2 linked regions of the Rattus norvegicus genome follow. Each later gene encodes a partner of the first gene's protein in a complex. Links are inferred from orthologs where the notes say so. Each region holds a gene or a part of one and is shown in the gene's direction. Other genes may lie near its edges. The genes, in order: Sympk and Ssu72.

What was found.
Region 2: the proteins of Sympk (region 1) and Ssu72 are in contact, whole or in part, in a crystal structure (PDB 4H3K), measured with the Homo sapiens proteins. The link is inferred for Rattus norvegicus from reciprocal best matches to the Homo sapiens genes SYMPK and SSU72. Residues at the interface, in NP_004810.2 of Homo sapiens: Val123, Lys127, Leu131, Gln135, Asp175, Asn176, Asp177, Gly178, Thr181, His182, Lys185, Glu188, Pro204, Arg205, Arg206, Gln207, Ser250, Ile251, Thr254, Thr255, Asn262, Ala290, Ser292, Gln293, Ser295, Ser296, Lys299, Asn300, Leu303, His304; in NP_054907.1 of Homo sapiens: Glu113, Tyr116, Asp117, Val120, Asn124, Glu127, Gln128, Glu129, Thr130, Cys131, Gln132, Pro133, His135, Asp167, Glu169, Asn170, Asp173, Gln177, Glu180, Thr186, Phe187, Leu188, His189, Thr190, Val191, Phe193.

Annotation. Positions count from the first base shown.
Region 1 is NC_086019.1:87,813,746-87,817,558, forward strand, and holds part of Sympk (symplekin), read left to right. Parts: intron 1-967; coding exon 968-1,122; intron 1,123-1,460; coding exon 1,461-1,611; intron 1,612-3,387; coding exon 3,388-3,592; intron 3,593-3,813. UniProt on the Homo sapiens protein: Scaffold protein that functions as a component of a multimolecular complex involved in histone mRNA 3'-end processing. Specific component of the tight junction (TJ) plaque, but might not be an exclusively junctional component. May have a house-keeping rule.
Region 2 is NC_086023.1:171,622,907-171,626,348, forward strand, and holds the end of Ssu72 (RNA polymerase II subunit A C-terminal domain phosphatase SSU72), read left to right. Parts: intron 1-492; exon of another isoform or gene 493-547; intron 548-1,608; exon of another isoform or gene 1,609-1,629; coding exon 1,630-1,769; intron 1,770-2,201; coding exon 2,202-2,320; intron 2,321-2,476; coding exon 2,477-2,578; 3' UTR 2,579-2,769; downstream 2,770-3,442. UniProt on the Homo sapiens protein: Protein phosphatase that catalyzes the dephosphorylation of the C-terminal domain of RNA polymerase II. Plays a role in RNA processing and termination. Plays a role in pre-mRNA polyadenylation via its interaction with SYMPK.

The DNA of each region.
Region 1 (3,813 bases):
CTTCGGAGACACAAAAGGGCATTGAATCCCCTGGAACTGGAATTACAGATGGTAGGAACTGCTGTTTGGGTGTTTTTTAAGGCTAAGCTAAATCTACCCCATCCCACCTCTTCTTAATGGTGGCCAAGTGCTCTGTTACATGCATGGAAGCATTAACGTTCCTTTCGTGAAGAGTTTGTCGCTGCTGTAGGACTGTCCTGCACATCTAACCACAGAACACTCTAAAGGAAGGGACACCTCCGTAACGGGTTTCTGTTTGTTATTTGTCTAAAATCAATTTTCTCCTTTTTTTAAAAAAAATTATATTTATATGAGTACACTGCATCTGGTGTGTCTGACACAGCAGAAGGGGGCATTGGATCCCTTTACAGATGGCTGTGAGCCACCATGTGGTTTCTGGGAATTGAACTCAGGACCTCTGGAAGAGCAGTCAGTGCTCTTAACCGCTGAGCCATCTCTCCAGCCCCAATTTTCTCTTTTTAAAAAAGATTTTATTTATTTGGTTTTTCTTAAAGACTTTTTTTTAAGATTGTGTGTAGCCCTGGCTGTCCTATAACTCACTCTATAGACCAGGCTGGCCTCAAACTCATAGAGATCTGCCTGCCTCTGCCTCTTGAAGCAATAGCAGAACTGTCTCCCACCGGGGGCACCTGCCTGGTTCCTGCAGGCTCCTGCATTCCATCTTCAATATAGAATATATTATCCATATGTCACCATCTTGGAGCTTACTGAAGTCAACTAGAGGTTTTTGGCTTTTTGCCATGTCCCTGGTGAGAACTGAGACCCGGAAGAGCTTTTGCTGACTGGGGACCTGTGCACTTTTATGGCCATAGTACACTACAGCCTAGGTCCTTGCCTGCTGTATGGCTGCTCCTTGCAGTGGTTTGCTAAAGGAAGGCCATGTGGCTCCCTGAACACAGGCCTGCTGCAGTCTGGGAACCTGCTTCTTATTCCCTTCCCTTCTCAGAGCCCAACCTGGGAGAAGATGATGAGGACAAAGACTTGGAGCCTGGCCCATCGGGGACATCAAAGGCCTCAGCCCAGATCTCAGGCCAGTCAGACACAGACATCACTGCTGAGTTCTTGCAGCCTCTGCTGACACCTGACAATGTGGCCAATCTGGTGAGGAGGGTGATGTCCAGGGACGGGCCTGATCCCAGTCCTTTCCCTGCCTGCCCTACACTATGGCTGTCTTGGTAGCATCAGCCAGGGCTTCCCTCCCTCCCTTAGAACTGTCCTTCTAGTGGCTATTTATTCTCAGTACCCCACTCCCCATCTGCTCACTCTGTTCTTGGGGTTGGGGCCTCTGTCACCCAGGTGACAGTCTGGCAGCCATTGGCTCCCCAGAAGCTAGGGTGAAAAGAGCAGCCCCAGCCCCAGCCCTGACCTCAGTTCCTGCTGCGGCTCCAATGCTGTCCTAGGATGGGCTGGCTAAGTTCCCCTCCCTTGGCCTCGCACAGGTCCTCATCAGCATGGTGTACCTGCCCGAGACCATGCCTGCCTCCTTCCAAGCCATTTACACCCCCGTGGAGTCAGCAGGCACAGAAGCCCAGATCAAGCACCTGGCACGGCTCATGGCCACACAGATGACAGCTGCGGGACTGGGTCCTGGTGAGTTCCTGCTGAACCAGGCAGCACAGTGGTGCTGGACTCTGCTTACTGAGAGAGCCATGGAAAGGAAGGTCACATGTCATCTAATATGTCACCTGTCCTGGGTCCATCATTATGCAGAGTACTCAGTGACTTCAGGTCCTGAGCTTTGAAATCCAACTGATGACGCCACCAGAATCCAGGGTGACTTGTGTCAGGTTTCCCAGCCTCTGAGCCTTGGAGTCTGTCCCTCTTTGATTGGATTGTTTTGCTTTATGTGTGTGTCAGAGGCCAGAAGAGGGTGTCAGATTCCTGGGAGAGTTAGGAGAGGTTGTGGGTGCTGGGAATGGAGCTTAGGTCCTCTGCATGAGCATCATGTGCCCTTCATGACTGAGCCATCTCTCTAGCCCAGGCTTTTGCCTTCCGTAAGACAGGGTCTTGCTGTACAGCCGTGCTGGCTTCTAACTTGCACCCGTTTTCTGGAGTAGCTTCCTGAGTGCTGAGATTGCGGGTGTGAGCTGCTCTCAGCACCAGCATGGTCTTGAAGTATAACTTATGAACAGGAACACATCACGTGCACAACTACAGTGTCAACGTGGCTGTGAGCTTCACAAGACATGCTCCACTTTTGTGTGGGTTCCAAAGCTTGAACTCGGGTGCCCTTTATCCCCTGAGCCATCTTGCCATCCCTTGGTTCAGACATGGTTGCTGTGAACAGTGGCTGTGTATGACTCTGGTGCCTCAGGTTTTCAACTGAGTGTGTTGTCAAGTCACCATGCCCTCTGCTGCTAAAGTCAGTATAGTGAGCACACTCTAGTGGACATACCTGTCATCCCAGGAGGCAGAGGTAGGAGAGTCAGAGGTTCAGGGTCATCCTTGGATGGATAGTGAGTTTAAGGACAGCCTGGGGTACATGAGAGACCCTGACCCACAAACTTCAGAAGGGCTGGTGAGACAGCTCGGGGCGAACATGTTTGCTGTCCAACCCAAAGTGAGTCCTGGAACCACGTGGTGGAAGGAGAAAACTGCACACATGCACCCTAGCATCTGTATGTAAATCCCCATACAGATAAATAAGACATAATCGTTCTGATCCCTAACGTCCACAGAGAAGCCAAGGTGGTGTGCACCTGTAACCCCAGCACTGGGTGGGACAGGCACAGGTGATCTGAGGATATTCCTGGTCAACTAGTCTGGCTGAAACAGGGTTCCGTGGGTGAACTCTTTTAGACAGTAATGTGGGTCTGGTTAAATGGCTCTCAGCTGGCAAAGGTGCCTGCTGCCCCACCCAAAGACCCGAGTTTAGTCCCAGCTCCACAAGTGTCCTCTGACCTCCGTATGTGTACACATGCACAACACATAAGTAAAATGTAAGAAGCGGGCAGGACGGCAGTGTGGGCTTTGAGCCTCGGCACTCAGGCGGATGCCTGTGTTTGACGTTTGTTCTACGTAGCAAGTCCAGGCTAATCGGCTGCACAGTGATATTCTTGTCTCAATAAGAAGTAAAGTGGAGATAAATGAAGATGCAAGCCTGCCTCTCCCGCGTGTGTATGCAGTCTAGCACACCAGCACACACACTTACAAGCATACTCATGCATGCCACACGGACATAAATCTGAGGGACCTGCTTGTGGTAATCATCTTGAGCTGGGCACTGGCTGTGCTCCAGGATGGACTTGTCTGGCTCCGTCCGCGGATCATTTGTTAGTTGGGCTACACAGTGCTGTGGGCCCTGTGCGTCATGGCAGAGCCTGGAGTGCAGGTGACATGCTGGGTCCTGTGGCTGCATCCGTTCAGGTGTGGAACAGACGAAACAGTGCAAGGAGGAGCCCAAGGAGGAGAAGGTGGTAAAGCCGGAGAGCGTCCTGATCAAACGGCGCCTGTCAGTGCAGGGCCAGGCCATCTCTGTGGTGGGCTCTCAGAGCACCATGTCCCCCTTGGAGGAGGAAGTACCCCAGGCCAAGAGGAGGCCAGAACCCATCATTCCTGTCACACAGCCACGGTGAGTCCTCGTCTCGTTGGCATGTGGGCCCTGCAAATATAAGGTAGGCTGAGTGCTGGACCAGGTTCTCCCTCTGCCTCAGAGTCAGTGCTAGAGCCACCAAGCGTTTGTGGGGTTCTGCAGCCACACCTCTTTTGTCCTAACTTGGGAGAATGGTCATGGTTCCCCTCCCTAGTGGACACTAAGTTAGAGACACAGCCATGCTGACAGTCAGGCAGTTT
Region 2 (3,442 bases), on another chromosome or scaffold:
GGGTTGGGGATTTGGCTCAATGGTAGAGCACTTGCCTAGGAAGCGCAAGGTCCTGGGTTTGGTCCCCAGCTCCGGAAAAAAAAAAAAGAACCAAAAGTAGTCTCTATCCAGGCAAGAAGTGTGCGTATGTGGTGGAACCAACGGCAGTCTTCCCAGGCAGGGCCATCCTGTGACCACAGTTCTTGGTCTGACTCTGGGTAGTGGGGAATGCAAAGTGGCTTTTCCCACTGTCCCTAGCTCTGTCCATGTGACTTTCTCCTCACTATCTCCAGCTTTTCCTTGGAGTCAGTACTAATTCTGAGTTACCAGGAACTTGATTGGATCCCTGCCCCAGGAAAGGCCTATTTCCCTGTCCTCTTTCCCATAAGTTATACGAGCCACAGGGTTTGGTCTTGAACTCATTCTCTCCTCCAGTACGTTTGAAGGACTCTATAAACTTGGGTGCAGCTCTTGTAGGCAGCAAGGAGACATTAGAGGATGCTCCAGGGCCTAGCCCCAGAAGAGCCTATGATGCAGGGGATGGAACTACCTAGCAGCTCTTGATCAGGTATCTTCCAGTTAAAGTGTTTAGATTGGCCACTTAAATGTGTTCTAAAATAATGTAGGAACTGTTTTTTAAGGCACTATGAAATGGCTCAGTGGGAAAGGACATATAAGTCCTAAACCCCATATGAGACTGAATAGCCTCCTCGGTCATACTGACCACAGCTCTGATTTTGCTTTTAGCACTAGCTAAAGTTACCTCTTATCTGTGCCTGTTTGTTTTACTTGCAAACTGGAGTTCTATAGCAGAGACAAAGCCCCAATCCAGCTAAGCTATGGTGAGAAGAAAATCTGAAAAAAAAAATCCATTGAATTTTTTATTTTATTTAGTTTAGTTTTTATTTATTTTTTATTTATTATTTAGTTTCTGGAGACAGAGTTTCTCTGTGTAGTCCCAGTTGTCCTGGAACTCACTCTGTAGACCAGACTGGCCTTGAACTTGAGATCTGCCTGTATCTCCCTCCTGAGTGCTGGTATAAGGGCATGTACTACCAGACTTCCACTATATTTCTTAAACCCCAGCAACAAAAAGGGTCTGGAAAACTCCCACTGATGATCCAGAAAGGACAAGTTCTTTTTCATCTGAAAGCAGGGAGACTGCCTGATGAGATCAAAAGGATATTCCAGATGGCACCTGTATGCTTAGGCCCATCAGCCCTGGCAAAAGCCAGGAGAGCCACTGCCTCTGGGGCTTTCCATCCTCAAATAGTCCCTGGACCACTCATAGTCTGAGGTCTACGCTGTGCTGCTCTGGACACTTAGGAACAAGGATCTGTTTAACTTCCTGTTCCAGGCTGAGAGGAGGGGCCGGTACCATGCCTTTACTTTGTCCAGTCAGAATGACAGGGCTATCTGGAGCCACTCTGTGGGTTTGGGTTGTCATGAGGGTTATGATCTAAGAGGTCAGCACTTTCCTGTACTTCCTGTTGTAGGGCAGGGGCCACCCTGCTTGTGTTCAGGCCTAGAGCTATGGGTGATCATGTTGACAAAGGCCAACTTGGAGCCCTGAGAAGCAGGGGCCGTTGACAGGCAGGTCTACATTAGTGGACTATCTTTTATCCAAAGCTCCTTGACTCTGGTGTTCAGCTATACACAAAATGGAATTCTACATATGTTGGACAGAAATAAAAGGATCAAGCCCCGTCCAGAAAGATTCCAGAACTGCAAAGACCTGTTTGACCTGATCCTCACTTGTGAAGAGAGAGTCTATGACCAGGTTGTAGAAGGTGAGTGCACATACAACACCAACACTAGGCTAATAGACATATGGTTGCCCTGGGCAACAGTGGTGTTGAGACAGAGGGCACCCTCACATCCTCTGACCTGTACGGACATCTGGAGGATAGCCTGTGAGGAGTAAGCACAAGACTGATGTCCAACAAAGCTTACGCCCTGTGGCCTTCAGTGTTTGCTTTTCCTATGTTAGGCCTGGCATTTTGTGGAACATGCTGTTGGTCCAGGGTTGCCTGGCATAGGATGGCCTGGATTGAGTACACTGTTTACCTTGGTCTCTTAGCCCATGTTGGGGGCTGTCCCTCATGTTAGTTCATTGGGTTTGGGGGCTCAATCTTCAGTTAAATTCCTCAGAGTTCAGGGGCAGGCATGGTAAGAACTGGACTTGGATACATCTGCACTCGGTGTCTCTTTTTACCAATCAGATCTGAACTCCAGGGAACAGGAGACCTGCCAGCCAGTGCATGTGGTCAATGTGGACATCCAGGACAACCATGAAGAGGCCACCCTGGGAGCATTCCTTATCTGCGAGCTCTGCCAGTGTGTGAGTCTCAGCACCCAGGTCTAGGCAGTGCCTACCAGAGGAAGTAGCTGCAACCCAGTCCTGTTGGGGCTGCAGAGGAGACAGTGCGGTGGAGGACAGGGGCAGGGAAGGCATGTCACAGTGCCTGGGGTTCACTTAAGGCTGTGCTTTTCCCAGATCCAGCACACCGAGGATATGGAGAATGAAATCGATGAGCTGCTGCAGGAGTTTGAGGAGAAGAGTGGCCGGGCCTTTCTGCATACTGTCTGCTTCTACTGAGCCATCCCGCTTGGTGCATGGCCTGGCACCACCAAGCCACCTTTGCTGAAGTCACTTTTTCCATGTGTTTTCCCTGCTACGTGTACATCACCAATGTACTGTACATATAGAGTGAGACATACACAGAAATGCCAGATTCAAAACCATTGTTTTTAACCAAAAGAAATAAAGATGGTTTACTCTACACCCTACAGCAAGTGTCTGTTGTTGGCCCACCTACCCGTTTTCTCTCCACTGCTGGACTGTACAGAAACCTAAGTAAAGCAACAGGCTGTCTTATTGAGGGGGGAAAACCTTGGAATTGCAACAAAATAGGTGCTTATAAAAGTCTTTGATTTGTCCTGAATTTCTGGCCTGACCCCCTGCAGAGGAAGAGGCTACCCTGGGCCTTTGAGCCCAGCCCTGTGACATACCTGAGATCACCCTTCTGAGAGGTAGGGCCAGTACCCTGGATACAACAACTCCAGTTGGGACGACTTGGGGGGCTGGAAGTCAGCTGTTCTCTTCCTGCTTTTGTCACACAGGGCAGGGTTGGTTCTTATGTTATCAGCTCTGTGGCCAACACAAGGGCTTGGGACTCAATTTGGCTCCAGGTATGACCGGCAGCCACAAGAGGATCATAGACACTGAGCTGCTGGCTTCAGGCAACTGTTCCAGCTCCTCTTCCTTCCCAGAAGTCGGCTAGTCTTTCCCACAACTGCCACGATCTCTATGGCATATTTGGCCCATTCCGTATTGCCTACCCTCTTGCCCTCCTACCTCTGGTCATGTAGTCATAGTCCCTGGTCTGACTTTTCAGGCCCCTCCTCTGATGGCACTTTCTTGCTGGAAGCGGCTGGGTGCTGACACTTCCTGTCCCTCTTT